3 linked regions of the Arabidopsis thaliana genome follow. The main gene of each other region encodes a partner of the protein of the gene in region 2 in a complex. Each region holds a gene or a part of one and is shown on either strand. Other genes may lie near its edges.

Region 1 (10,407 bases), on a different chromosome or scaffold from region 2:
TAAATAATATACAAAAACAAAAATTTACATGACAATACAAAATTATATATCCTCACCAAAAAAAAAATAAATTATATATGAATTAGAAAATAAACACAACATAAAACATAAAAAAATTTATAAAATTAGATGTAAAATTATAAAATTATTCAATGTAGTTATGTCTATAATGCTCCCATATATGCTCAATGTAATATTATTGTTGTATAAATTTGTTTTTAAATGTTATGTTTTTTATATTTGAATTTATATGAATATACTTGTAAAAATTAAATGTAATAGAATTATTTAAAAAAAAAATAAGTATGAGGACTAAAATGAAATTTTGAAAAGATTTTGAGGGTGTGAGTAGTGCACACTCAAATTTGAAGGTACACTATTCACACCCACAAAAAATAAGGGTTTGTTGGAGTTCAAAAAGTCCTCAAATTTAAAGATGTCAAACCTTCAAAATAAGGGTTTGATGGTCACTTACTCCAATAACACACCCTCAATATTGACAATCATTTGTTCTAATGATAAAACTTCATAAAAAAATTTAAAACATACATTTCAAAAAAATAATGTCAAACAATATTAGAGAAACAAAACTTTACATGTTACTACAAAATTATATATAAATTAAAAAAGAAACATAAAATAAAACTCGTGTATTTCATGTATAATTTTATTATTGAAATGATAATGTTAATGTGTGTTAAATTGCTCAATGTAATATCATTGTTGTATAAACTTTGTTTTGAAATATAATATATTTTATATTTTAATAATTTTAATTTTAATTTTAATGTATTTTAATTATATGGATATATTTAATATAATTGAATTGAATATAGGGTAATATTAGTAGATAACCAAATAAAACATACAAATTAAGAAACTAGCAGAGAGAAAGTTTTTTGTTACAAAATAACCATGGACCCACGTTGTCGGAAAAAAGGAAATAACAAAGCTACCCTTCATTTGTTGTAAGATGAACAGTAAACGAAACACATCCGTGTAATTTTTCAAAATAGCATGTAACATTAAAATTTCACATGTTATATTTAGTTTAAAAACATGCTATTTCAAAAAACGTTATGAATTTTTAAGAAAAAACATTATTATGAAATTCTTTTACATGAACAGAATCTTAAAAAATAAAAATTATATGTGATTTTAATAAAAACCATGTATTACTAAAAAATAAGAATATATTTTTAAAGAAATCACGTGTGATCTTAATAAAAAACGTGTATTACTACAAAATATCATGATAAAAAGAGATATTAAACTGAATAGAATGTTTTTTCCAAAAAATATCATGTGTTTTTTACAAATACTATGTAATAAGAGAAAATAACAAGATAAAAAGAGGATATTATGTTATCGCCTGTATTTCGGAAAAATAACATGTTACAAAGGACATTTACGTAATTACACGTGTTCTCCAACATGTTTCCGAGAAGATACTGTGACTCAAGGTTAGTTTGTACATTCTTTTCAAATCTATAGTCATTTATTATAAATACTCTTGAATATAACTATCTATAAAATATATAAATTATAAGGACGAAAATGAAATAGAAAATTTTTTTGAGGGTGTGACCTTTAAAAAATAAGGGTTTGAGGGTTTATTGGAGTTCAAAAAACCTTCAAATTTGAGGGTTTAAGTGTTTGTTGGAGATACTCTTAGTCTCTAGTGGTGGACTCAAAAAACGGGAATCCATATATTTTATATCAACAAAAGATAAAAAAAAAAAATACAGATTCACACATTACATAGACAGTAAAACAGATATATTATATAAAAACTCATAAACAAACATATTTGCAGATTTAAAATGAAATTTTGAACGACCTGAAGAAGCTTCATGGCCAGTGTTTCAGTTTTTTTTCATCAGAAGAGTTTTCAAGGTTTCAACCAGAGAATCAACCCTCAAATCTGGGATGGTGCCTGAAGAATCGTCATCACTAGAGTCTGAAAACTGCGACATGTGCTCTCGCCGAATTAGAGACCTACGAATGTCGCCAAAACCCTAGAAACCCACAAATGTCGCCAAAACCCTAGACTTTTAGTTTATGGCTTTCTTTTTAGCTTGTTTTTGGGCTTTTTATGGAGAAGTTTGTTTTTCTTTCAACCAAAATGCATGTCATTTGATTTTATATAATTGATTTTCAATTTGACATGTTCACTTTTTTAAAACAGACATTTTAGAGTTTCTTAAACTTGAATTTGTTACTATTATATTCAATTACAAATGATTTGGGACCAACAAGTCTTCCTTCTCAGTCTTTAGATTGGTGGGAAAATCTAAACTGAGAGGTGAGATTTTTTTCACTCGCGCAGAGGATGCATGTATCTTCTTCTTCACAAGTCACAAAGCGTAAATGATTTTAACAAAAGGATCAGTCTTGAGAAATGAGACTATCTAGGCTTTAGGTTTTTGATATAACAGAGTAAAATATGAACAAAAAACACACGGGATAGGGAATATGAACAAATTATCGATTCACCAAAACCTATCGTAAACATAAAAGATTAATACAAATTTATGTTTACATTTGAGTATTTCTAACTATTACTCCTACTAATATTTGTTTTTTAAAATTTGTATTAATCTTTTGAAGAGTTTATTTCTAATATTTCTACAGTATCAATTTTTTTTTCTTTTTGTTTTCTAGACTTAATAATTATTTACTTTTTATATTTTTCATTATTTTTAAAAGGATGTTGATTATAACTACAAAAACTGCTTTTCACATAAACCAGTTTTAAAAATTATAAAAGAATAGTAAAATCTCTCAATAAATTTAAAATTGTTCATTTATCGATAATTTAATAATAAATTAAGAATTATTAATCTCTGATAACCCCAGCTTGTCATCTACTAGATCGACAAATGGCTCCTATTCTTCTAGAGTACCTCTCCGGTTTGAAGATTATCATCTTTTATCTCAGAGATTGGCTAGCTTGTTATAGTCGCTAAAATGATCTTCTCTTGTTTCTGCCTAATTTTGTTCTGAAAACGTGTGTTATTTAGGCTGTGTCCTTTTTGGCTCATAATATTGACTTCATCTTTTGTTTGTTTCAGTTCGTCTTTTGTGTAAACTGATCTTTTAAATGTTTGTTTTAGTTCGCCTGTTGGTGTAAACTGATCTTATAAGAGTAAAATTGGTAGGAGTTATTCATCATATACTCAAAGAGTCAAGATATGTTGCAACTTAGAATCAGTCATTGTGAAATCTCTCAAAAACGAATTCTGTTCTTAGAATTTCACTATCTTAATAGGAGATCGGCACTTAGTTTTAATGTTCAAGGTGGAACACATACTCCGTCAAGCGTTGTAGCTTCGATGAATCCACCTTTTGCTCTCTTTTAACAGCTTGTTTCTTCACACTCGCCATTTGAGAAGCTGCATCCACTGTCCATCCATTCTCTACAACATCTGTGTATATATCCAGCAATAAAGAAAACAATTATACTGTTAATTCTGATTCCGTAACATATATGGTTGTCATAAGATTCATGCCTACAATAACACTAAGCTAAGACATTGCCACAAACTCTTCGACATTTTTCAAAAGTATCAATATAAGAATCAATTCAGTAGAATTCAATAGAAATGTGAAATGAGGTACTTAATCTTTTGTAAGCAAAGGAAATTGCAGAAAGAAGCTTACAAGTTGTGGCATCATCCTCCGTCATCCCTAGGAAAAGAGCTAAATCATGGATGGTAATTGTGGAGTAGGCAGACAACAAAAGCTGAAACATCCTTTTTGTGTAAAGATCTACAACAAAACCAATTCAGAAATAGAATTAGAATCTGATGGAAAGTGACCCATAAAGGTCAGGTGTTGAACAATTGATGTGGAAAAAGGTACAACTTCACAAAATTCAGATCAACGTTTAGACATTTGGTTGGAAAAGTCTGTCAACTGCTTACTCGTTCCTCCTGTGTGAGTCTACCTACCTCTCTCTCAGTTAGACCACAGAAGCAACTACTTTCTAATGAAGAAGTGATAAGGCACATACATTGATGAAATTTGATTCAAATTCGAGTTCCAATAGTTCAATGATAAGATGAAAGGTGGTTCTGTGCATAACAGAAATCCTAAACTAGGCCTCACAAGTTAAAACAATAAAACAACTATTCGATCTCAATATGTATATCAAAGCTCAAAACCTAAAGAGGGATATGAAGTAATAAAAGTACACAACTACATAAGCAATCAACAAGCTTAGTTCAAGAAACCAATTCATACTAGCTAAGAAGTCATAAACAGAGAAAAAATTTACCTGAGAAGGCAGCAACCATATCTTTAGCTTCTTGACTCCAATCATAACCCCGAATAGCTTCATATACACCTGCATAGTCGTGTGTCCACAGCTTCTGACCAATCCCCCAAGCTGCAACAACTTCAGGCTTCCTCTCCTTGATAGCTGTAGGTATCCTTTTCCAGAGGAAACGTGCGCTATCACTGCAGTATTTCCAAACAAGCACAGCAAAACATCAAAACCAAATCCATAGTCAAGAAGGCACAACCATAACTCAATAGTTTCAACATACTACACTCACTATCAATACACAAAGGAAAAAAATGTTAAATGGGTCTCAACAACTACTAACTTGTGTCAAGTTTTAATTTTTCAAATCACTGGATAGAAACAAGGTAATGTAAAAAGCAGACTTTAGACCTTAGATTCAACCTAGGACCTAGCAATCGAAGTAGTAAGAACAACTTTGACGCGCTAAAATTCACAAGAGTTCAACGAAACAATCTCTAATTTCATAAAGGAACTAACTTTAGGTTCACAACGCAAACAAATACATCAAAGAAGAAAATAAACTCACCAATCGTCAACGTAAAAGTAACCCAGAAGATGGATTGCGTAAGGCCAATCATCATGATATTCAATTCCTTCGGAAGCAACCTATAAAAAAAATTAAGAAGCGATAAATCGAACGATTAACACCACAAAATCCACTTCACAAAACCCTAATGAACATCAGAAACAACGACAGCGAGAGAAATTACGAACCTGAAGCATGAGAGTATCGCAGATATCGGCGATTTTGTCAAAGGATTTGGCGGCCAAAGCTTCCTTAACAGGCGAAAGATCCATGACTTGTTTCGATTGCACTACTCTCGAAGCTTTTGCGAAGATGACAATTCTACTCCCAAAACCACTCCAGGGAAAAGAAAAATAAATTCTGTGAGATTTACAGGTTTTAATAATCTTTTCAATACGGTTTACTTAAACCGACCAAAAAATTGACCAAACACAAGAGGATAAATGGGCCAAGCCCACTAAGCCTTAGTTTCCCGCCAAACATCATAAAGCCACCCGGTCTGTTCCCGCCAAAATAACAAACAGTCTCTCTCACTCTCACACACACTCTCTCTCTCTCTCTGTAGCTCTCTCTTGGCGCGAGTTCTACCATGGCCGAATCAGATCCTATATTGAGGAAGAAGATGCGATTTTCGTCTTCTTCAGTTCGTTATACTACCTCTCAGAACCTTATGGCAAGCAAATTACGAACTCAGAGCAATCGTTCCTCCGTTCGATTTGCATCCCCATTGTCTCACATTGTCACGGATCTTCGTCACCATCATGCGTCACCGATCAAAGGGAAAATTGTTACTCAAATGCCCCGAACTTGTTCTCGTGTCACCGTGAAGAATCTGTGTCTCAGACGCGTATTCTCTCCTAGTTCCATCTCTAGTGATTGGGACTTTCATGTGAAAGGGGGAAATCTAACCAAGGAGCTAAATGTGGAATCTCCTTGCGATACTCCGAATTCTAATGGTAATTCTTATTTTAAGGTCTTTTTCTTGTACAAGTTTTTCTAAGAAAATTTAGGAGAATGTTGATATAATGAAGGTGGAATTAGGAAATTTCAATATCTGTTTAGAAACTATAATGATTACACAATGGTGAAAACAGTTATGAGAGAAGGAAGCAAATATCTTGTTGATGGATTAGTGGCTACTGGAGGTGATTTAGAAGTAGTGGAATGCTCACAAACGACGCCACCGGATTTAGGAATGTTCACCGGTGAGCTTTCTTTGGTGAAAAATGAAGCAGGTTCTATCAATCAAGAGATCAGTGAGGTCTCTGGGAAGAAAGTTGGTACCAATCTCGGCAGCAAAGTGGTATGTTTTTTACTCATGGTTTTATAGCAAATGATGCGTTTAAACTACAATATTGGCTTTTCGTTGGTTGCTTAATTTTCTTCTTGTGATATGTATACAGATTCGTCATCCGGAAAAGATTTTCAAGAACCCTGGCTCTGTGAGCTATAGAAGAATGCTTCCTTACTTGATGGAAGCTGCAGATGTTACCCGAGATGGTGATGCAAAAGATCCTAAGGATGAAAGAGGTGAATTGATGGCAGCAAATTACCGACTTCCTGAAACCGTATCTGCCAATAGCTTTGTTAAAGCTCATGGAAACAATAGCCCTTTCAAGAAGATGACTTCATCCAGTGGCAACAAAATTTCTGTATGATCTGTTTTTTTTTAAGAAGCTGCAGTCTTGTTCCTTATTTAAGAATCTGTTTTTGACATTTTCCCTGTTGTGACATGAAACAGCTGTGCTGCCGGCGCAAGCTATTTAAAGTGCCAGGTTCTGTAAATTACAGAAGAATGCTTTCATATCTCAAAGAGAACTCAGAGGATAATCATGGTTAGTCTCTTTATATTCATGTTTAGCACACGGTATAATTCAATGTCAGTACTAGTCAGATAATAATACTGTCTTCTGTGGCTTGGTAAATTGTAAGATAGTATAAATGCATGATATTAGCTTGTATTGAAATTATAAAGTCAGAATTGGTAGCCTTAGAAATTGATGTCTCTTTTCTTTCATTGTTCTTCTAGGAACTCCTGAAACCACGCATACAGATCCTCAGAAGAATATAGAGGAGAATGCTTCAGCTATTGAGGCTAAAGGGGCATCAAATGAAGTTACAGATTTAGATACATGCTCTAACAACGTTGAGACGCCACTAGCTGATCCAAAGAATGAGCAAGAAACTCAACTTTTGTTAGCTGAGTTTAGCTGTTAGTGTTAATCAGTTAGTAACAAAGTCATGTATATAGGGTTTAAGCGTATTTGACTTGTTTACACAGAGCTTGTTCATCTAGGTACTTGTAGTTGTAGGTCAAAGAACTGAAACGAAAACATTAGAGGTACCTATGCATTAGACTTGTTGATTCTTATGTCTCCATATTTTTCTGATTGTCCTTTATTGGTAAGTGAAAGACAATAGTAGTCTCTTTAAAGGTTTAATTTCAGTTGTTTTATATTTTGAAACCAGGAATGCTTTATTGATCTTGACAATGTACAATGGAATAACAGAGGAATTTAAGAATTGCATCAAACAAGCAGAGAAATATGAGGTAATATGTGTTCATCAGACTCTGGACTTCTTGCATTCTGGAGGGAATCCACGAGGGAACCTTTTGAGATCAGAGCAATAATTATAGATCATGAAGTATTTCTGAACCCATCTGAGTCTCCTCCTGCCATAAGCATTGAGCTCGGTTGCCACTTGCAATTTACCATCACCAAAAGAACTCTTGAATTTAGGGTCACATCCTGAAGAGGCTGTGCAAGCCGCAGCGTTGAATCCTCTGTAGTAAGCTGTGAAAGGAGCCTTGGACCAGTCAGTCTTGACTAGACCACCTCTCGTGGCCCAATCGTCTGCATTCCACAGGCTAGAGTAGATCCTCATGGGTTGACTCTTTGGGAAAGGAACGCCGAGCTTCTCTGCATTGTTGAACACTCTAATGGGTAAATTGTCCACCAAGAATCTGCAGAGACAAGAACAAGAGAGTCAAGATCTACGTCTTTCACTTATTGTTAGAGAAAATAGATCGATGGATGTTTACATGATGTGTTGGGGTCTCCAGACAATGGAGTAAGTGTGGAAGTTCTTGGTTGGGTCGAACCAGAGATAAAACTGTTGCTCTCTGTCTCCTTTCCCTTGAGCAAAGACATTGGTGTGAAGAACATAAGGCTTCCCTGTCTCGTTACCTAGAAACTCAAAGTCTATCTCGTCATGTGTTGCTCCTTGTGAAGACAACTGCAAACATGTACGTTCAAACAAATTTAGAAAAGAGTCTCTTCAGTTTTAGCAACATTATGAGTGAGTGTGAGTTTGAAAACGCTACGTAGTAAGCAGTGACGGTGCCGGCCGAGTTTCCGGCGACAAGTTTGAGCTGCATATCGATCCGACCGAACAAATACTCTTTTTTGGATTTGAAACCTGACCCGGAAACCTGGTCCAGCGACAAAGACAGCATATTTCCTCCGTTGAAGATTTTGCCTCTGTGGTCACCCCAAGTGAGGTCAAACTCGTCGAAGAAGTTGCTTGCGTAGGCCGAACCGAACAATGTCACAAGAAGAACAGTCGCCACGATGGTGGTGAGGCTCGAACTTGGACCCATTTGGGTTTGGTTGATAGAAATGAAAGTTGTGGGGGTGAGTTTGGAAACTAAAAGAAGATGAGAGCTTTGTGTTTTGGTGTGAGATGAGTTTTAAGAAGGAGATATGCATATATATAGGTGGAGAAGCATTGGGAAGCTAAGACCAACTCCAGCAGTAGTTTCTTAGTAGAAACTCATACAATTTTAAAAAATAAAAATATTGAAAAGTTAAGAAACAGATGAGAGAAAATCTCTAAAATTCCTAATATTAGGATCGTTTCTATTACTCATATAAGTTGGTTTTTTGGATGTAAAAGTAAAATATTAATACATTTTGTTTTCTTAGAAACTACATGAATCCTATACAATGGAGTTGCTCTAACTTAACCAGATTGTGTTTTGACATTTATTTGCTCATTTTCAATAGTAAATAGCTCATAATAATTGCATCTTATTGCATTATTGAGAAACTCATCATTAGTATTTCCTTTATTCTCATGATCAGGCCTATTTTAATATGGATGGAATTTTGAAACAAAATAGAAAAAAGAAAAGAGAAAATGAAAGCTGTCCAAAAGAAAGAGAACAAAAAAAGAGTGTGTGAGCTGAGAACACTGAGTACTGAGTTCGTAATCACTCAGTCGATAGCTGTTGCCAGCTCTTCTGCTACACCCATCATACCTCGAGCCTCCTTTTTTATTTTGTTATAGGCTTTTAAATTTTTCTTCTTTTAATAAAATTTTAATCTACATTGAAATGATCAAATTATTTAACTCACTATAGTATTGTTTTTAGAGTGAGGATAGAAAAGCTAATAATACATCATTCCATGAATTTGATCGCATCCTCCTACATAGTGATTAAACAAATTTTTTTGTACAAAAGCTATATCTTTTCTTTTTACATTAATATTAAAATATATTAAAGAAACCTGAAAACGTTTTTACAAGAACTTGAAACTTAGGATTTGACATCCCCAAGATGCAAACCACAACCAATAAATCAACATTGTAGCGTCGACCACACCATTCTCTCTTATGGATGAAATCCTATTTCGAATAATCTTGTAGCTTTGTAACAAATCATTTGGAAATTGTAATGGAACTAGAAAACTATTCTATGTAATATACAAGGATCGTCTATTGAAACCAATCAAATCCATATTGTTCTGTATATAATAATAGTTTGCAGGACAAAAACGAGAAATCATAAAGGGTTACTAATATTTATGATTGGAGAACTTCCCCATGCTTTTCAAGTTTAGTATAGTTTATCAAAAAGATTTAGTAAATTTTCTGTTTTTTTAGTCTCATATAGGTTATATTCTTAAATAGACTATTCGGCCTTTTTTTTTGGGCAAATTGACAAACGTTTGTAAACTAGGTTTCTCCTCTGTGGATCAGTTATCCGTAATTGAATTTGCTTAACAAAACAATTAGTAAGAATCACTATAACATTAAATTAGATTTTATTTTATTTTCCTAAAGTTATAGGAACATTTCTCAACCTAATTTTAAGATTTCAGGATTTTGATAATATTAATGAAAAAAACTTAGAGAAAGTATTACACTCTGGAAACTTTTTAAAAGTAATCACATAAGTTACCTTTTTGTTTTTTTAAGGAGGCCACACCAGTTTATTATATTAGCTAGCTTTCCCACTTTTCTATCGTTTATGGTGTGGCATAGTTAAACTATTAATTACCGAAATAATTAGGAGAAAACGACAAGGTAACCCATATACTATTTTGTAACAATTTAAAAGATCAATAATGCTCGTTTTTGTTTCTAGTATTGGAAATGAGAAAGTGGACGACATGAAAAAGAAAAAACAAAAGCAAGAATGGGAGTGAGACAAGCTGGCATGGAAATGGCCACTCTTCTCCCTTTGTACTTTGTGTTATCTTATGTCTTAGATTTAGTGCTACATCCGACGTGTCACTTCCCTCGTACCTCCTTCACGTGTGACTGTGACCTAACGGACTCTTCGATC
Region 2 (10,738 bases):
CAAATGATGCTCTTGAACAAATTGTGCAACTTGTCACCAATGACAACCTGGATTTGGGTTGTGCTGCTATTGAACAGGCTGCTACAGAAAAGGTTTGTGTCAGATATTAGATCTCGGACTTTATTTCTGTTTCAGCTGATTGAATCAAATAACCGAAGTAGGTTTCCCTGGAGTGTAGGCACTTCCGTTTACCAGAGGGTTAATTTCTTCTAGTTACTAATTTTTATGTCCGTGTCACTACAGGCAATACAAACAATTGATGCGGACATTGCTCAACAATTGTTGTTACGGAGAAAGCATAGAGATGGTGCTGGATCCTCCTTTTTCGATCCAAACATTCTATCACAGAATTCCGTCAGTTTTATACCCGAATCCCTCCGTCCAAAACCTGGACACCTCTCCCTGTCTCAGCAGAGAGTTTATGAGGTACTGTTTTTAACAGGTAGCCTCTGGTATGTTCTGTGTTTGTATGACTAAACAAGATGTGTGCATTTTCAGGACTTTGTTCAACATCCTTGGCAAAAGCAGTCGACCCAAACTTCACACGGTTTATCTGCTGCATCAAGCTCATCTGGTGATGTTGCGCTTGGTAGTGGTTATGGTCCAGTATCAGGAAAAGTTGCTTCTGAATTTTTGTCTAATGCTGGAAACGCTCGGATGGACATGGTCTCCCGGCCATCAGATATTTCTGTGGATGGTTTTGAATCTTCTCCAGTCTCACTTTTGAGGTGCTTAGTTGTAAAGCAGATCGATAAAACTGCTCTCATTTCTATTCGTATATTTCACAGCTGAATGTTGACATATCATTTTACCTGTCTTAAAGCTCACAAGTCGATCCAGCTGGTGACTCATCCAGTCTTCAATTTACTAAGTCACTACCAACCTCTGAATTGAATCTGGCTGAATCCTCTGACGCTGCTACGAAAGTGAGATATACTGTGTTTTCAAATGATTACTCGCTTAGGTTTATAATGAATTACTAAGCTGTGCTTATTTATATACAAGGAAACTGGAACATCACTGCAGACATTGACTTCAGCTGCTACCATGGAACGACTTGGTGCTAGTAATATTACACAGCCTTCACTGTCCACGAGAGATGCACTGGATAAATGTCAAATTGTTACTCAGAAGGTTACTAAAGTGGTTATCCTGTGTTTTCCTTGCTGCATTTTTTTTTTGCTGCTTTATATGTGAGAAACTTCTTGAAACTGTTTCAGATGGAGGAATTAGTGGCTAATAATGCAGGAGATGATGAAATCCAGGTATTTGATTTCCTAGTGCCTAGGTGGTTATAGTGCAGAATTGTTATCCATTTACGTGCACCTAGAATAAATGAAATTAGAAGTTAATTTTGAAAACCTTCTCTAACTTTTGGAAATGGTTTCTGTGTTTTCCAATTGATGCCTATTTTCTTCTATCCAGTATGAATTCAATAACTAATGCAGATCTCATTGATTTTTCAGGCCGTAATTTCTGAAGTTCCTGAAATCATCCTCAGATGTATAAGCAGAGATGAAGCCGCTTTTGCTGTCGCTCAAAAAGCTTTCAAGGCTCTTTACGAGAATGCATCAAGTAACCTTCACGTCAGTGCTAACCTAGCAATACTTGTTGCTATCCGTGATGTTTGCAAGCGTGTTGTTAAAGAGCTCACTAGTTGGGTATGTTTACAACCTTTTCAAGATTTCACTTCGCTGATGTGCTTTGTTCAGTTACTTCTCCATTAATTTGTCACTATTTCTGTCAGAACACATAGGATAACACATATCATATAAGTGCTAGGTCGAGTCTGTTTCCTGTAGTTGGAGCCTATCCTCAACTGGTTATAGATACTAGATTTGTTTCTTTGGTATTTTTAGTTATAATTAATTATCTTTCTTCAAACTTTTGACACAGGTGATTTATTCAGAGGAGGATCGGAAGCTCAACAAAGATATTACTATTGGTCTTATCCAGCGTGAGTTGCTTAGCCTAGCGGAGTACAATGTCCACATGGCGAAGCATCTTGATGGAGGGAGAAACAGTATGCTGAATTGCTTAACCTTTGTTGATGTCCTTGTGTGGTAACATTCTTTTTTTGTTTTGGCTAGTGAACTTGTTTTAACAAGTTGTTTGTTACGCAGAGACCGCAACTGACTTTGCTATTTCTCTACTCCAATCCTTGGTCACTGAGGAGTCGAGTGTCATTTCAGAGCTCCACAGTCTTGTTGATGCGCTGGCAAAGGTTGCAATTTTAACATTCTTCTGCGTTTGTTGTTGCAGTCGCATATTCTTGTTCTATTATATAAAAAAACAGTTAATAGGTGTGAAAACATACAACTAGGGAAGGGATAGGTTCAATTTTTTTTTTTTGTGGTTAAATCTACTGCATAACACTGTTTATCATATAATGCCAACTGACAAGTATTGTGGTTAGGTTCAAATATTATGAAATTTGGCATTGTTATATTTGGTGACGCTGCAATTTGTATTCTTGTTTTGGTTGTAGCTTGCCTCAAAATCCGGATCTTCTGAGTCATTGCAACAGCTAATTGACATCATACGAAATCCAGTTACTAACACAGCTGGCCTCTCTGATAGTTCAACCGGAAATGATAACAACGATAGGCAAAAGGATGAGAAGGTGTCAGATGTCTTCATTACCGAATGTTGCCTGTAATCAGACTGTAAATGTATATTTGACATGTTAGCTTTTTCTTAGGTTGCGTGCAACACCACTAACACAGAAGAGAGTACCAGCTTGGATTATGTGGAATCAGATCCTGCGGGTTTCCAGAATCGGGTAATTGTCTGCATGTTATTAGCGTTTATGAACTTCTATATTGATTTAGAGCTCTACCTTTTCTTTTTTAAAAGTTGATTGGGAATTGCATATATCTAAATTTTTCACTTGCAAAAGAGTAAATCAAAAGCTAAAATGTTTGTATCAGCACAATGAATTTGCAAGCTACAAAAAGGATTTCAAAACAAACGTTTCTATGAAGCTATTTTCGTTCAGTATGCATGTTTTTTTCCTTATTTTTGTCTTGTAGATGGATTTTAAATTTTCACTTTAATTCGATGTATTTAGATACATGTGTTTGTAGTTTGTTATCTCTTCAGTTTTATGTTTGAACATACATCTCTCGTACTTCTTGTTTATATCTTGTTTTTGTCTTCCTCTGTATGGTTTGGCAGGTGTCCACGCTATTTAAAAACTGGTATCAAATCTGCGAACTTCCTGGTGCAAATGAAACCGCATGTTCACAATATGTCCTGCATTTGCACCAGACTGGATTACTTAAGGGAGATGATACAACAGAGAGTTTTTTCCGAATTCTTCTGGTGATTTTACCTTTTAAGAATGTTTTAGCATCAGCACTTTCAAATCTTGAGAGGCATCATTATTGATTTTGGCTTTCCTTTCTGTAGGAACTTTCTGTTGCTCATTGTATATCTTCTGAAGATATTAATTCCGGTGCTGTGCAATCTCCTCAGCAACCTCAGAGTCCATCATTCCTTATCATTGATATGTATGCAAAGCTTGTTTTTTCAATATTGAAGGTAGAGTGCTCATTTTTTTTTTTGCATTCTTCGTGGATAATTATACCCAAAATACATTGCCGGCTAAGCTTTTTTTGTTTTGTTTGTTTCTTATGACAATCTGTTCAGTATTTCCCTGAGCAGGAGTCTAGCAGTAGGTTATTTCTTCTTTCAGAGGTAAGGGGACACATACTCTTATTGGAAATAAATCTAACTTCTACTATAATGGATGGAAAAGGTGAGTGGTATTGATTACCTGTTTCAGATCATGGCTGACACAGTGAGATTTATTCAAAAGGACGCAGAAGATAAAAAGACATCACTCAATTCTAAACCATATTTCCGATTGTTCATCAACTGGCTACTGGACTTGTGTTCCCTGGATCCTGGGACGGATGGTGCAAACTTTCAGGTGCATTTTGTTGTCCTTGAAGTAGCTGCTATTAATTGTTATCACTTTAATTAATCTTTTGTTGCAGGTTCTCACAGCTTTTGCCAACGCCTTCCACGCATTGCAGCCTCTTAAGATTCCTGCTTTCAGGTTAGGACACAAACCTATTTCTCACCGTGCTTCTATTAAAACTTAAAAATTTGAATCTCTCAGGAAATTTGAGGGCAGTCAAATACCTATGTTGTCAAACATTTCATGTTGTTGACATATGTATCTTCTTTTCTTTGATCTGTGATCCGTGTTTTATACATTTTTTTTCTTCTCCACTGAGGTTTTTATAAATTTTTCCAGTTTTGCATGGCTAGAACTTGTCAGCCACAGAAGCTTCATGCCCAAACTACTTACAGTAAATGGCCAGAAGGGTTGGCCATATGTTCAGCGCCTGCTGGTGGACTTGCTTCAGTTTCTTGAGCCATTTTTAAGAAATGCTGAACTCGGAGGACCGGTTTGTGCCTTTTTCTCTTCTGTAATTGTTTTGCATTGGACACTAAAGGATATAGTCGATGGTAACTTAAAGTGGTCTCTTTTTTGGTGTGTTTATTAATTGCGTAGGTTCATTTCCTATACAAAGGGACATTGAGAGTATTACTGGTTCTGCTTCATGATTTCCCAGAGTTCCTATGTGATTATCATTTTACTTTCTGTGATGTGATTCCTTCAAGTTGCATACAAATGCGGAATATTATCCTCAGTTCTTTTCCACGGAACATGAGGCTTCCTGATCCTTCTACCCCAAATTTAAAGGTACGAGATGATAGTGGAGATTCCAGCATGTTCAACATATTTTAAAGAAAATATATTCCTTGTAGGCTGAATTATCGTGTTCATTGCAGATTGATTTGTTACCTGAGATAGTAGAAGCTCCCTGTATCCTTTCTGAGGTTGATGCTGCGCTAAAGGCAAAGCAAATGAAGAATGACGTGGATGAGTATCTTACGGTAATGGGAACACCTGATTCTTCAATTTACTTATATTCACTTTGGTATTCTTGAGATTATATCAAGAGATACTCATATAATTTTTCTGCAGTCGAGGCAGCAAAATTCAACTTTCCTAAGTGAGTTGAAGACAAAGTTACTTCTATCGTCCAGCGAGGCTAGTTCAGCTGGAACCCGTTACAGTGTACCATTGATCAACTCGCTTGTGCTATATACTGGAATGCAGGTATGGGTCTAATTTCTATACAGCCTTTTCTTTTGATTTCTAGTTTATTATATATATATATATGCAAATAACCGACATTGCGATAACAGGCTATTCAGCAGCTTCAGGCCGGTGAGACACAGGCTCAAAATGTTGTGGCCTTGCAGATGTTCAAGTATTTAAGTATGGAACTTGATACGGAAGGGCGGTATCTGTTCCTTAATGCAATCGCCAATCAGCTTCGATACCCCAACAACCACACTCATTACTTTTCTTTCATCATGCTCTATCTATTCTTCGAATCTGATCAGGTGAGTTTGCTTTGCTTGTCAAGAGTTGTGTGGAAAAATTAGTGAGCATGGAAATCTGATTTTTTTTTTCTTTTTCTTGGGATGAATGAAACAGGAGATCATACAGGAGCAAATAACTAGAGTGCTGTTGGAACGGCTAATTGTGAACAGGCCACATCCATGGGGACTTCTAATCACATTCATTGAGCTAATAAAGAACCCAAGATATAGCTTCTGGAAACAAGCCTTCATCAGATGTGCGCCTGAGATTGAGAAGCTGTTTGAATCGGTAGCCAGATCCTGTGGTGGCCTGAAGCCTGTCGACGAGGGAATGGTTTCGGGAGGTTGGGTCTCAGACAATTCTCACTAGCTCTTTAGCTTTCAACTTGTATATATGTATGCGTATTTTGATATTATGTTGTAACAATTATACATACAGTAGGAGAGATTTTAGGAGTCTTAGTTTATTTATTTAACTTCAAGATTCACAAACATGTTTTCTAATTACAAAAAAAAAAAACACTATTATTCCTTTATCCTTGCTCTTAAGGGTCTGTTTGAGAATTAGTTAGGTGAAAACATGTTTGAGAAATCGGCGGGGATTGTGTTTTCATGGTCATAAAACATGACCATAAACACTGAAAGAGATTATGATTATGCTGAGGGAGTGTGAGAAATCGGCAGGGATTGTCATCATATAGTACTAGACTACTAGTACTTTGTATAACGTTCTCAGGAACATGTTTCGGTCAGAATTCCGATGGTGGGATCTAGTCGATGACGTAATAAACAACACTTTCATGCCCGCCTAAGAGGCAGCTGTCGCAGACTAAGCAGGTTTCAACATGTGAGGGGCCAAGGCGCTGGCTAGTGGTCAAAAGACGGAACACTGAGAATATCTGTATCATTCCATATGATCCAAGCGCCTAGCTTTGCTCAAGTGTCAAGACTATTGATTACTGAATACTAAATTCAAAGCCATTTTTCTTTTAATGGGCAGAGAGACACCAAATTTGCTAATGAGGGAAATCAAACATAACAAGGGGTTATTGTGAGAGAGAACAGAGGATCTTATACAAGTTGAAAATCCGCAACCAAATAATCATAATCTACTCTCGGTAAATGGAATGTCAATCCGCACTGACCATTTGCTCTCTCTTGCTCCTCTACCTTGTTACAGGATGCCTCCTCCTGCGTTCCAAAGTTGAATGTGTGTATGTTATATCATCTCCTTTGTACTTATCATCTCACTCATATCTAATATTCGTTACCTCTTTGGTCGGATCCCATCTTCTTCGTAGTCCATCACTCCACTTGGTTCCCCAAACATCTCCTTATTCCCTCTGATGTCAACATCCCCCTGCCCACAACGTAAGTAAGACTATATCGACCACCACCCTTCCCAATCATATTTCAGACACAAAAAACCAAACGAACCTTGTTTCATTTCATTTAACAATCAGACAATAACCAAGTACTACCATTCCAAACAATTCATGTCCTCTAATGACTTTAACACTTCACTAACAGCCGTTGTGATTGCGTTCCTTGTTTGTTTTTAATTAAAGAAAACTTCATAATATATGTTTACATCCAACATGTAAGATTTCTTGTTCCACGAAAGAACGGTTAAAAAAGCCCGCCACAGTTGGCTGATCGATTCGTTTGTTATTAAGAAACATAACTTTTTAATCTATGATAGGACTGGACTTGGAAAGCTCAAAGACCTAGAAAGATTTTTTTATCAAGTCTCTCCCATCCCCGCTTACATAGACCTAAGCTATTAATAAGAAGAAACCCACTACAATTCTCTGAAGAAATATAAGACAGAATAGCTGACTGGACTCTAACTCATGGTCACAAGACAGTAACCAAGAAAGAATGTAACCAATATTAGTTACATAATATACTTAGTAGGGAAAAGTGAAGCCAATAGGACTCCAAGCGCGACTGACCTTCATGGACAGAGACTTCTTCACTTCTTCCACCCCTTCTTCTGCTTCCTTACGATGTTTTTTGTCCATCTCACTCATATTGTCCGCCCATTTGATCTTGTCTTGAATTGAAATGAGCAGATTCTCTGACGTGTTCAACCTAGACATCAATTTGGGCCAACACATAAAAGAGTAGGACGTCATTAGCCATGTATTCTAACATCACGTACAAGTTCTTATAATTAGATATAGAAGGCAAAAAATCCTGGATCTAAGGGAAGAAGAAAACTACCAGTTGGACAATGTGTGTAACATATTCCCTAGTTGACCTGGCCTTAGATCCCTACCAGCTGCAAACGGAACCTGCATGGTTGCAAGAGATATATGATGTTTAGAAGGGGGGGCTCGTACGTTTAGAAACAAAGCACAATGGTTAAAATAGGAAAAGGAGGCCCAAACCAAAACACACCTCAAAACATCTTTTTAACTGATCCAGTTTTCCCCTAACTATACCCTGCAAAGTGTAAAAGAAAAAAAATGAGCACCATGCGTTGTCACAGTTAGTTGTCAAATAGAGATTAGAAGACTGCTAAAGAGTACTCACCGCATACATGCATTCATTGATAAGAAAGTCCTCGAGTTCGCGAACATTGGAAACATCTAACTCGACCATTAGTGTATCATAGGGCAATACCTATAACAAGCAGAGTGAGAGAGACATTCAGTTAGGCAAACAGCAGGGGAAAAAGATAATGGAACAGAGTAGATAGCAGGAGCAAATCATGAACCTAAGACAAATATACCTTGTTAGACTCAGCAAGGGTGAGGACAGTGAGCTGCTTAAGCTTAAGAATTTGGTCAGGGGACAAGTGCGGAAGACGGGTGGCATTGCCTAGTGTTTCGATGAAAGCAAGTCAAGAGGAGAGAATATGACAAAAGGGAAAACGAATTGAAATAGCATATGACAAAGGGGTCATACATTTGTAGTCTCCCCAGGTGCCATGGGCAAACAAGCGTAGTAGATCCAGGTACACAGAATCTGTGGTTCCTTCAAGCTGCACAATTACGATTAATCAGCTACTAGTATCTATCAAGTTGTTATGATCAGCGAAGAACAAAAGCATGTAAAACCCTAGATCGTGAAAAGCATAAAGTAGTAGTACCTGGGCAACATTGGGTAGAGCCAAAATCTCGGAGAAGGCGAAGAGAGAAGGATGCGATGTGGCTTCGATGATGAGCGGGCCCAGAGCCTCGGATTTGCAAGTAGAAGCTCGCTTCACGAGCTGATCAATGATCTCGGCTTGCTTCTGCTCGATATCCATCTTCCAAACAAATCGATTTCCGGTGGTTTAGGGTTTTCTTTCTTACCACACTAATAACGAATAAAATCCCAAACTTCTTCTCTCTGCTCCTTCCTTCTTCCGTTTTTATATTACTGTTTTTTTTATGTGACCGACCGAATTCTTCTAGAATCTTGTTTAATAATTGGGCTCAAATTTCGTAGTTTCTGGGCCAAGGCCTACTAAGAGAAATATTAGAAACCGCGTCTGGTGAGCCCAAACAATCCCGGGGAAGAGAGAGACTATTGAATATTCTTCTTCCTTCATTTTGGCTGAGAGAGCGACGACGATGGCGGAATCTCGCAGCAACAGAGCGGCGGTTCAGGCTACTAACGACGATGCATCCGCCAGTAAATTGTACGCCTACCTCTTTCTCTCTTCTTTAATTAGGGCTCTTCTTTTTTTTTTGTTGTTGTTGTGGATCTTTGAGCCTAGATAATATTTTTAAAGGTCTTGTGTCAAAAAGGGATATATGAAAGACGACTATGTTCATCTCTTTGTGAAAAGACCTGTTCGAAGATCTCCCATCATTAATCGAGGTTACTTTTCCCGTTGGGCTGCCTTCCGAAAGCTTATGTCTCAGTTTCTTCTAAGCGGGACAAGTTCTAAGAAACAGATACTGTCTCTCGGAGCTGGCTTTGATACTACCTATTTTCAGTTGCTGGTGCGTCTTCTTTTTCTTCTCCTTTTTGTTAGCTTTTACCAAATTCACCATTCTTCGGCTTATTCCAGGGATCTCTCGCTTCTTCTCTTCTCATTTTGTAGGATGAGGGGAATGGGCCCAATCTCTATGTGGAACTTGATTTTAAGGAGGTACTACTGGATGAGCGTGCTGACAAAAGTATCCATCATGTGTTTTGAGTCTAATGCCTAAATGGATTTGCTTCTTACGTTAGGTGACTAGCAAGAAGGCTGCTGTTATACAAAACTCCAGCCAACTCAGGGACAAACTAGGAGCCAATGCATCTATTTCTATTGGTAAGAGCCTTTTTTCCCCCCATGTATTATTATGTAGAATGATCCTTTTCATTATGATGCATTTCAGCTTGTGCACTCATATTTTTCTTCATTCCGCTTCTACTAGCTACTAACTCAACCACCCCCTTTTACTTTGTACCGTTAGCGTCTAGTTTCAGTTGCTTACTCTTAACTCGTTGGGCTGTTTATCTCTACAGACGAAGGACAAGTTCTCAGTGATCATTACAAGTTACTTCCAGTTGACCTGCGCGATATACCAAAATTAAGAGATGTTATATCCTTTGCAGATATGGATCTAAGGTATCCATGAATAATTTTTATTTATTTTACACACTGTTATCTTGAACCTTCAACCCTCTTCTTCTACCCGGGTTTAAGATATATGGTAACAGATACTTACTGGTGATAGACCTACTTGATCCCTAATATCATTATCAGTCTGCCGACGTTTATTATTGCAGAATGTGTTTTGATTTATCTGGACCCCGATTCAAGCCGTGCCATCGTCAATTGGTCGTCAAAAACGTTTTCAACTGCAGTATTTTTCTTATATGAGCAGGTTAGCTCAACTGTGATTTTCCTTGTCTGCATAATATTGCAGATACGAATCTTATTGCTTATGTGTCTAACCCGTTGGGTTTCTGTTTGCAGATCCATCCAGATGATGCATTTGGGCATCAAATGATTAGAAATTTGGAGGTAAGAACGTGTACTCTACTACTCTAGTTACAGCGACATCTTCATTAGTAAAGCTTTTTTGAGATTTTTGTCAAAATATGGATACTAGTATGACACTAAAATATTCTAGTATTGCCACATGGGTTCATGTTGTACTGATCAATTACCTTCATTTAAACTTGTTCTGAAAGCTTAACGGTGTTTCTGTTCTTCAGAGTCGGGGATGTGCACTCTTAAGCATTGATGCATCACCAACTTTACTTGCAAAGGAGAGATTGTTTCTTGATAATGGATGGCAGGTTCGTTTTGCAGTTAGAATATTATGATTAAAGCAGGGCTAACTTTCATGTATAATTTCTGATATAAGGACTCTCATTTCTTTACCCTCTTCTTTATTCTGGT
Region 3 (10,588 bases), 7.7 Mb from region 2:
GAGGAATAGGGCTGGGAGACACGACATACACGAAGGTGTTTGTGGGAGGATTAGCTTGGGAGACGCATAAGGAGACGATGAAGAAGCACTTTGAGCAGTTTGGAGAGATTTTGGAAGCCGTAGTCATCACCGACAAGGCCTCCGGTAGATCCAAGGGCTACGGATTCGTACGTTTATACAAAACCTTGTTCCTATATGTAGAAAGAGAATGGATGTTATTTGTGTATATTATATAGTTAAAAGAGGAATCAACTAATAAACTAAAGTTAAATGGTGATGATGATCGATCAGGTGACATTCAGGGAAGCGGAGGCGGCGAGGAGTGCTTGTGTGGATGCTACTCCGGTGATCGACGGGAGAAGAGCAAATTGCAACCTCGCCTCTCTCGGTCTTCAAAGATCCAAACCCTCCACTCCTAACCATGGTTATCATCTCTCTATCTTTCTTCTTTTCAAAAGTCTAGATGCTTATGTGTGTGTGTGTATAATATATACACGTTCATGATGCTATGAGTTAGATCAAGAAAAAGGATAATTCTTAGTTACTACTACTATATATGGTTAGCTATATTTTCTATATACAAAGTTGGTTTTTTAGAAATTTGTGTGGTCAAGTATTGGAATTAATAATAACCTTAATATTAATAGTTGGTGATAGATGTTAATGGACCATTATGTCGATCATCAAAGTGATAGTGATGATGATGGTGAATGTGTTAGGAGGAGGAGGCAGGATTAACAATATGAGAGTGATGATGAGCACAATGCAGACTGGTTTTGGACCACCTCCACCACCACAACCACCCACCTTCACTCACTATCCCCATCTCCCTCTCAATCTCTTTGGGTACACTCTTCTATTTCCCTCTTTTTTCATGTAATGATGATGATGATGATAGTACATGCATGCATCAAACATAACATGATACCATTTGAGACCAAAAGAATGCCAACTCATATTTGTCTATTAAACTGAACAATGCAATTGCATTACATAGCTGGCTGTCCTCTAATGTTTCCATTTTCTTTGTGGACCGACACTATTATTATTATCAGTAATAGATCGATTAATTTTCACAGTCTATAGAGAGATTTAAATGACTGACAAAGTGGTCAACGGACAGCTTGTAAAACTAAAAATTATACTGATTCCATCTTTCACCAATCATTTTACTCTCTCATCACATGCTTCCTCCTGTCTCATGACCACGTGCCACGTGCATTCATATTTGTTGTCACTCTTAAAGTGTAATTTGTTTTGTAAAAGCAAAAAACATTGATTTGATATTCGCAGGTACTCTCCATACTCGCCAGACTACTCATCATTCCCTACGGTCCGTAACTTTTTCCTTCTCTGACATAAGTGTTTGTATAACGAACTTAAGAATCTTTCTCTGTCTCAACGAATCTTTACTTGTTCATGATCATATATTCATATAGCATAGCCTTAATCTAATACTAATACGATGTGCTACAGAACTTATACGGCATGTACGGCTGCACTTCTGGAGGACAATACGGAGTCTATGGAAACAGAAACAGCGGAGGCGGTGGACTAACCGCAGCAGCCGCATCCGCTACTCCTTTTTATCCTTGTGGTGGAGGACATGGTGGGGTCCAGTTCTCTCAACCACAACCATTTTATCATCACTTGTCTTCTTATAACCCTCACCATTACTCTCCTCCGACCTTTTCTATGCAACAAGGTTCGTATATGATAATAGACATGTGTACACCAAAGGCAACAAAGATATACACATACACTAACATTGTTGGCAGTGTGTTTTGTTGTGCCACAGGCGTAACAGGCTTTCCGCTTCAACCACCTCTTATTCCTTACCGTTAAAGAAGCTTAGAGTCTTTGGTAGCTATCAAGCTTCATATCATCATCTTCTTCTTCTCAGGTCAAGAGCCATTCTATGGTTTAAAGGATGCTCCTGGCTAATCTCAGCACTTAGTTTCTCTCCCTCTGCTCTAAAAGCTACCCCATTTTATGGAATTTGGAGGTGGCTTTTTAAGCAGATCCCAATGGGATCTCCTGTTTCAGATGGTGATCATGTCGTATTTGTCATCTCTCACCTTCTTGCAATTGCATCTTCTCGAGAGAATGGGTTTCTCTTTGAGAGATATTGCTAATGGAGCATCATCATCATCAATCACTCATGTGCCAATCTCAAGCTGATGCATGTATCAGCTTAATTAGTTTATGTTGTTTTAGCCTAAGGATGGCTAATCAACAAGACAAAGAAAATGTCTGTTAGGATAATGTAAAAAAAAAATCAAGCACCAAAACAATTTTCTGTTTGAAAGACTGAAAAAACGATTGCATAATTAAGCAAAATGATCAGCACAAAACCCTGCAAGCCTTTTTGTTGCATCAACATGTTTAGTATCTTAATTCTTAAAGACTTAGTCACTTAAGTCCTCAAGTCTCAGATTATGTTTCTTAAATAAAAATGCATTACTCAAATGTCTCTGTTTACTGTTACTAGTGGTTAAAAACTTTGGGGAGTAACATCTCATAACCTCCTAGAATATACTATGCAACACATACAACTTCATGCTTTTCAGTTTTTGAATCTAGTATGTTCATAAGGATACTGGAAATATTCATACTGAACACTGTACTCACATCTCCTCATGTTCTCATGTTTCCCAATGTATGCTTCTCAGTCCAGTTTGACACCTTCTAGGGCTGAAAACATTAAGACGTGGTTGTGTGCTAGAGTCAACATCTTGCGAGAAAACATGTTGTAGCCCATCCATGTCACCTCTCAAGTCTGTCCTCTCATTATCTTGTAAGAAAACACTAGTGGAAAGAAACTCCCTTAATGAAAGCTTAATTACATACAATCTGCTGCTCCCATCAAACCATTGAGGTTGATGAAAATCGAGTCTAAGACACTACCCCCAAACACTGCTTCATGCCTTCCTCAATTGTATCATTTTAAAAATGTCTTATATCATATATTTCCTGGTGTCAAGCATGATGATATAGATGGAGTAGAGGAGTAGAGATAAGATCCTTGTTCAGGGCAGAGTAACAGTTGTGTCTGTGCAAATTAACAACCTAAGCTTGTGTTAACCAAGAAGCTTGAAACATGGACTAGAGAATATCTAAAATCCAAATGCATTTCGAGAAAATGCTAAAAGAACAAAAGTAGTGAAACAAATCACAATATATCAAAACTAATCTCCAGAATAAATTTTCATAATATCTTCTTTGATCATTTGGATCTTCTAGATCCCCAGAAAAGATAGAATGGCTTAAGCTTCGAACTCTCGGACCTTCTTGTTCTACCCAACTATACATTAGACAAGTATTAGGCCGTAAATAGGCCCATTTAGGGATACGCGAAGGCCCAAAAAGTCTTTGACATCATCATGTGGTTTCTTATTCTTGTTTTCCAGTAATGCTGGTTAAGTGAGGATGTCATTATTGATTAAGCCCCACGCAGCTTCTATCAATTACTACTACCTTACTCTTAATCCTACTCAAGTAACTTCACACGTTATCTCTTCCTACCGACTGTTTTCTCGGCCTGATGTTCGTTTAGTAGTCAGTTTGTTCGAATGCAGAAATCTTAATCCGCTTTTAGTACCCTTAAATCGTGGTCTTGTTGTAATGACAATTTCGGTTTTAGAATAGAATTTGTTCGCTTTTAACAAAAGAAATGCTGTTCAAACATAAATGTGAAAAACAACATCCTGATGAATTTCATGTGATGAAGAACAGAAAGAAAAGAGGGCCTAGAATCATTGTTGCTTCAATCGTTGGAGAACATTTGTATGCTTGTGTCAATTTTTTGCACATGGTTCCGTAACAGGCACATGATTACTGTGACATCACGTGTGTATCTGGAATTTGGTTTTTAATACCACTAAATCAAGATAGTCAAACGCAAAAACATAATGATCGATTTATGTTAATGTCATTTAATAACCCAAAGATCTTTGTCTGAAGCAGATACTACACTAGAGATATAGGGAACAATGGGCATTGCCTCATAAACCGGGTCAAACCGATAGTCAATTTCCGCAGCCAAAAAACAAAAGAATAGACCAACTTCACGATGTAATCATGGGCTCTGGATCTGATGAGTCGTCAGCAGACTTCTTGGACTGACGAGCGGAATTGAACAAGATGTCTTTGATAACCTGCACATTGATGGATGAAAGACTTTTTAAGTCAATTTCATGGATCCATTAACCGCAAGGGGAAATAGGATCAGCATTGTCAGATTGTATTTACTCACCTGTGACATTAGTCCATGGACCTGCTCGACAGTTATCTTTGCACTATCCCGAGTTATCTTCGCGAGTTGAGGCTCATCCTGAAAGTGGTCCACAACACATATACTTAGGTAATGTAATCTCCAAAACAAATGTTTTTATGTAAAGAAGATTAAAACAATATCAAAATGAGTCACACAGCCAGAGATAACAGAACTCTAGGAAGCAGACATAGACTATTGGCAACAACTCGTTGACAAATTGATACATCAAAGTCTCCCTGTTTTACTAGTTCAAACTTTAATAGCTCTGTATATTTTTGACTAAACATACACTCAATTGTGAAATTTCAAACCCAGAAAAGGTAAAACATAGTGTTTTGCAGGTAGAGTTTCTATTAGTCAATATCCAGTCAACATAATGCCTAAGAATAAAAAGTTCAAATTTAATCCAAGTTGCTAGATGTTGATAGTAGCAGTTAATTAGCCAAATGAAAAGTTTCTACACAGGAACAAGCTTGAAAAGTGGCAAGTGTATGAGCTCAAGATCATGGTCCAGTATCTCAGACAGTCAATAAACATTGAGAACATAACAAATAATTTTGCTAAAGCAACCATTTAGACAAACCTCTTTCCTCCTTTGGTGACCGGCTGGCGCAATTCCTCCATACCGGGAGTTAGCGAGCTGACTCTCCGCTTGCTCGAGCTTCTCAGCTTCATCATGTAAACAATTAAATGGTAAGAAAAGAGGATATATCAAACTACGACCTGGATGAAAAGTAAATTAACTTGCTCTTTCATATATACAAGAATTTACCCAAGTCTGATATTTGCCCGGCAACATAGTCTCCATTGCCCAACAGTGGGGAAGAAGAAAGAGTGTTCACCCAGTACTTGTTCCAAAGGAGATCCAGAAGGTGACTATCGAGAGATGACTTGAAATAAGTGATGTCCAATGAGTAGTACTGCCACATACAAAAAAAATGAATCATAAGATCGATGATTAAAACCCTCCCAAGTTTTAAAATCGATAAATAAGAATTATACATACCTGTTTGCAATGTACACCAAAGTCCTCAATCTTGTTAAGAGGGATAGTCTGATACTCAGAAACATGATCATCCGAGATCTTATGTCCCTCTGGATATGTTCTGAATGCCCCAATCTCAACCTTACCAGCCGAAACAGTCCTTGTTGGATCAATAACAACAGCTAAGAATGGCTCCTGATACTGTTGGTTAAGCATCTGTGTCGAAACATCAATACCCGAGAGCCAACATCCATACCCAGGGTGAGAGTGATACCATCCAACAACGTTCTCCAACCTCCCAGCCTATAGTTCAAAGTTACAGTCATAACCAATCAATCAAACACTCGCAAAATCTTGCATAAAGGATCCAAGTAGCAACTAGCTAATTAAACAAGGAGCTACAGCGAGAGATGAATAAGAGATATCTTACCAGCTTGCTGGTCTGAGAGTATTCAACCATATACTCATAGGCATCAGACTGAGCATTAACCCTAGTCTCAGTACCTTCAACAGGCAAAGCAAAAGCATCCATAACGATGATTGTATCACCCTCGGTTTTACCCTGCATAAGACCCATGATCTCGATTGTGCCACCGGAGCGAGCGTGAACCACCATCTTGAGAAGAGCAAGGGCTGAGATGTGAACGCGCTTGAAGTAGTTAGGATCGGAGGCCCATGGCTTCTCCTGCTGGATTTTGGCTTGTGAAGCGTCGTCGTAGTGGAATATACTGTCGGAGGCTGAATCGGTTGGTTCCACTGGGAGAATGTTGTTCTCTAGCTCCCATGTCTTCCTCGCGATGGCTGACGAGGAACCTTCCATTGAAATCGACTTCGAAGAGTAGAATAAATCTAGGGTTTTGCTTAATCGCGAGAATTGATTTGAGGGTTTGAGTCAGAAAGAAAGAAGAAGGCAAACAAATAGAGAGAGATCTTTGGGTTCTTGGGTTAAACCGGTTTGCGAGAACAAAACTCAAAATGGATTTACTTAATATGGGATTTGGGGACTAATGCTAATCCAAAACATTAACCATATAAAATTTTTATGGAAATTTAATATTGTACATTTTTTATTAAATATTTTTCCCTTTTTATTTTTAGTTTGTTTAACTTTTATAGAAATCAATGTTGGCAAATCAAAGGATAAATTCCAGTCATTGTATCAACCAATTGGTATAGAAATCAATGTTGGCAACACATAGATTTGGCATACAATATCTTAAATCACAAAGCGTAAAAGAAGAGTAATGCATCTCATGCATATTTCTTGAGATATCCACACATGCATAATTTCACCAATGTAGTAAGCTTATTTTGATAGCATGTTCAACTTATATATTGTGTGAATTATGCTTGACTTTATGGCATAGACGTTGATCTTTAGCTATAAAGTCAAGCTTTTGTCTTCTCATTCTATCATCGATCAAAGCATCTAAATCACTTTCCTCTCTTTTCTTCTCTTGTTTGTGTCAGAACTCAGAGAGTATAACATAAGGTTAGCTTTCGATCAGTTTTTTATTTTGAGTGTTGCGAATCAAAAGAAAAATTAGTTTTAGCATTAGACCTAAATATTTGTACAAGGACACAGTGTAATATTTGTAAAGCAATTAACATAGAACAAATAATGAAACACAACAATACTATAAAGATGTTTTGAGTTAAGGAGAGAGATCATCAAAGTGCTTGCTTAAATTTCTACCGTGTTGTTGTGTTTCATTACTTGCTTAAATGCTTAATGATAACTGCTTTAAAAATATTAGATTGTCTTCATGTACCAACATTCAGGTCCTACATCCAAAATATTATACAAGACAAAGAATTCACTACAATATAAATACGCTAAAATTTAAGAGCAGCCTCAATTATATGCATATACTAAGATTATGGCCGCCCCTGCTATGCTGATACAAAATAAATGCCAAATTACATCATATATCAAAATATTTTGGCAAAATAAAACATAATTGCCTTTAGTTGGATTTTGAAAAAAAAAATGGAAGATCTTCTGAGTTTGTGAGAAAGAAGAGCAATAAAGAAGAAGTTAATGCATCTGTTTGACTGTTACAATTACTTATAAAAAAAAAAGTGGAAGAAAGTTTAGAGGAGAGGATACATTTTGAGATCATGGGGAAGGAGTGGTTGCTAACAAAGTGGTAATAGAATTAGATTACGTGAAAGTATAAAAGTAAAATTTGAAAGTTTTGTGACATGTGGTAAATGTTGCTGTTTTTGAAAGTGTTGTCCCATTTGAAAGTTTTGTCACATTCGGTAAAATTTGAAAGTTTTGTTACATGCAGTTTTGAAAGTTTTGTCACATTCGGTAAAATTTGAAAGTTTTGTTACATGCAGTTTTTGTTAAAATGACGGTTAATTTAGAGGGGGGTGGGAGGGGGAGGGTAAGTAGTTATATGATTTTGATGATTTTGTAGAAGTGTATTCAATCTAGTATTTTAAGTGATTTGTGTAAAATTTATCAATCATGGATTTTAAAAACTCTATTAAAATCAAGTGTTATTGAACTAACGATTTTAAAATTTACTTTTAAATCAACTGTTATTGAAAACAAATCTCATGATTGTAGATGGAATTTGAAAAGATTGTACAATTAATCACATCAACTTTCTTAAAATTATAGAAATCTTTTCAAATTCTATCTAAAACCATGAGATTTGAATTTGTGTATTTGTAACTAAAGAAGTTTTCTCAAATCTTTCAAGATGAATAAGAATCAACTCCACAAACTGTTTTCAATAACAATTGATTTTAAAGTTAATTTTTAAATTATTAGTTTAATAACATTGGATTTCATTAAAGTTTTTAAAATCTATAATTAAATAACATAAAGTTTGTAAATTTTACACAAATAATTTAAACTACTAGATTAAATACACATCCTTTAGTATATATAGATTTGAGAAAGTGGATAACATTTTTTTTGTTGATGTCTAGCTTGAAACAATTCATACGCCCTCAGTTTCTATATCTTTATAAACTTGGTACAATTGATGACAAAAGTCCACAAAATAAGGGGTCATTGGAATTAAAGCGTTACAATCTTTATACCACGTGGTTGCAATATAAGGGTGACCAAGGTATTACTCAAAGGCTCAAAACTCGAATCTTTGAATAGTGACAAGTGGAATAACCTTTAAAGCCAAGTTGCTAAATATTTTTTCTTCCTTCTTCGATAAGTATTTAAATTTTTGTTATGTTCTCGTCCATAAATTGAGTGAATGATATTAGATAAGAGGTCCAAATCATGTATAAAATTTTAGAAAGCATTTAATCTCTCTCTTACATACCTATCAGAAATCGAATATGACCACTTTACTTCTTTTTTTCGTCGACCTTGACGATAAACGATTTATGACTACCTCTTTATCTTAATGATCTCAAACTCGCTTTAGGTCTTTCAACAATTATATGGCGTATCTTACTCATTTATAATGCAACAAATGTCAATTAAAAATCAACTTCAAATTACTATGGAATATCTCAAGGAAACTTATTGTAGAAATTTGGTGGAACTAGTAATCAAACTTGTTCATATAAATGCATTTGGCCTTTTGGGTTCGTTGTTGGTCTAGAGTTTAACGGTTTAGAGATTGTTTTAAGATTTTATTTCCCATGTACAATGAAAGTCTAATACAAATAAGTACTATAAACTAAGCGTTATGATCAGTAGATTATAATTTATATCCTACTATATTATTTGGGAAGTACATTTTAAATGTAACCTTAATTTTTGTAAGTAATTACATAGGTATGCCATTAGAAATAAAATTTTAAAGAGTAAATTAATTTATCTCTTTAAGGATTAAAAAGTCAAATACTAATTTAATTAATTAAATTTAATTAAAAAATGAAATATATTATTAATTTCCAAAAATAATAACCAATCAAAATCAACATATAAGATTTGATATCTAAATTTTAATTAATTTAATTTAATTAGAAAAACAAAATACATTATTAATTTCCAAAAAGTAACCAGTTAAAATCAACAAATTATGTTTGATATCTAAATTATCATATTAATTTTTTATTAATTATTATAGTTCACTTCTCATCGTTATATGATTCTATTTTTGCGGAAAAATAATATCATCATTATAAAAAAATAATTAGAGTTTTTTTGCATATGCCATAATTTGAATTTTTAAAAACAAATATAAACTGTTCAATACATGAAAAAATATTATAAGGGTAAAAAATAGATTTAAGAAAACTTTTTACTGAGTAACGGGTCATAATTTGAAATATTTATATTCAATTTCATACATATTATATTGAAAATTTATAATTTATATATACTACAATAATTAATAACATGTTAGATGTGATTCAATTTTTAATACAAGCTGGAAAATCCTAGAATTGACGGGTTTAGATCGATATTAATACAAGATAGTATACTACAGGTGAAACTCTTAAATTAACAATCAAACTACAAGTATATAATCTTAAACACTAAACAATATAGATAATATCAACAAAACGTATACAACTCACAGTTTACTATACATTTAAAATCAAATAAAATAATATTATATATTTTTTAATCATCTTTACAATAAAAGTTTTTAGTTTAACTAAAATATAAGCCTACATGCGGTATACTGCAGGTTAATATCTAGATTATAGAGCTTATTGGATCTAAAGACGGGTCATCAAAGATTTCCTAAACTGAAGCAAAATATACTAAATATTCAAATATCTATATGTTACCAAATTATAAACAAATAAGTCAATTTAATATTTTATATACAAAATCAATTAAATCTTAATCACATAAAAATTAGCACAAAAAAATGTATTCAACAATTAAAAATTTATCAAATCTCTGTGTTATATAAGTTTTGATACTATATTCAAATAAAGTGTAATATACCTTTTCAATTTGTATTCTTTAACTAATTTAAGCTAACTAATATATTTGCTAATCTTATATCTATCAAAACCGACTATCGTTTCTTATCTCTATATTATTTTTGCAAGATTTTTTTGGTGGATTTGGATAAAAGTGCATTCGGGTCATATGGTACATTCCCCTATTAAATAAATATGGTGCACTCCTATGTTATTAGCTAAAATATTTAGATTATAATTCAGAGTCATATCATTAATAAAATTAATATTAATAAAATAAATAGGTTTTTGGCAAGACGGATTTGGAGGGACGGGTTTTTGAATCAACATTAATAAAAAAGTAAAATATAATTAATCCACCGTTTCAATACGGGTTAAATCTTTAATTTATTATTTTTTAAGACCACTAATATTAAACATATCAAATCATCCTAATTTAGAAAAAATTATATAAAACCAAA

The links.
Region 1: FUS5 (region 2) and COP9 share a complex: the UniProt entries of both Arabidopsis thaliana proteins name them as parts of the CSN complex.
Region 3: FUS5 (region 2) and CSN5A share a complex: the UniProt entries of both Arabidopsis thaliana proteins name them as parts of the CSN complex.

What each region holds. Positions count from the first base shown.
Region 1 is NC_003075.7:8,129,761-8,140,167, forward strand, and holds COP9 (COP9 signalosome, subunit CSN8), read right to left. Parts: upstream 5,229-10,407; 5' UTR 5,108-5,228; coding exon 5,024-5,107; intron 4,916-5,023; coding exon 4,836-4,915; intron 4,462-4,835; coding exon 4,280-4,461; intron 3,772-4,279; coding exon 3,664-3,771; intron 3,429-3,663; coding exon 3,289-3,428; 3' UTR 3,120-3,288; downstream 1-3,119. Other genes in the region: AT4G14120 (uncharacterized protein), read left to right, coding at 5,425-5,791, 5,930-6,138, 6,239-6,487, 6,577-6,670, 6,865-7,052; XTH15 (xyloglucan endotransglucosylase/hydrolase 15), read right to left, coding at 7,401-7,800, 7,879-8,072, 8,161-8,436. UniProt on the Arabidopsis thaliana protein: Component of the COP9 signalosome complex (CSN), a complex involved in various cellular and developmental processes such as photomorphogenesis and auxin and jasmonate responses.
Region 2 is NC_003070.9:380,907-391,644, forward strand, and holds FUS5 (Proteasome component (PCI) domain protein), read right to left. Parts: upstream 8,903-10,738; 5' UTR 8,663-8,902; coding exon 8,504-8,662; intron 8,396-8,503; coding exon 8,320-8,395; intron 8,233-8,319; coding exon 8,144-8,232; intron 8,035-8,143; coding exon 7,945-8,034; intron 7,855-7,944; coding exon 7,810-7,854; intron 7,704-7,809; coding exon 7,633-7,703; intron 7,501-7,632; coding exon 7,362-7,500; coding exon of another isoform or gene 7,317-7,361; exon of another isoform or gene 6,767-7,316; coding exon 6,678-6,766; intron 6,598-6,677; coding exon 6,573-6,597; 3' UTR 6,371-6,572; downstream 1-6,370. Other genes in the region: AT1G02080 (transcription regulator), read left to right, coding at 1-92, 244-426, 499-728, 824-926, 1,006-1,134, 1,221-1,265, 1,467-1,661, 1,897-2,023 and 14 more; SBI1 (Leucine carboxyl methyltransferase), read left to right, coding at 8,970-9,037, 9,131-9,344, 9,446-9,493, 9,577-9,658, 9,856-9,958, 10,097-10,217, 10,310-10,357, 10,552-10,635. UniProt on the Arabidopsis thaliana protein: Component of the COP9 signalosome complex (CSN), a complex involved in various cellular and developmental processes such as photomorphogenesis and auxin and jasmonate responses.
Region 3 is NC_003070.9:8,105,815-8,116,402, forward strand, and holds CSN5A (COP9 signalosome 5A), read right to left. Parts: upstream 6,248-10,588; 5' UTR 6,082-6,247; coding exon 5,692-6,081; intron 5,565-5,691; coding exon 5,283-5,564; intron 5,197-5,282; coding exon 5,049-5,196; intron 4,946-5,048; coding exon 4,860-4,945; intron 4,334-4,859; coding exon 4,256-4,333; coding exon of another isoform or gene 4,184-4,255; exon of another isoform or gene 4,158-4,183; coding exon 4,068-4,157; 3' UTR 3,760-4,067; downstream 1-3,759. Other genes in the region: AT1G22910 (RNA-binding (RRM/RBD/RNP motifs) family protein), read left to right, coding at 1-167, 292-424, 720-846, 1,294-1,333, 1,477-1,709, 1,799-2,135. UniProt on the Arabidopsis thaliana protein: Probable protease subunit of the COP9 signalosome complex (CSN), a complex involved in various cellular and developmental processes such as photomorphogenesis and auxin and jasmonate responses.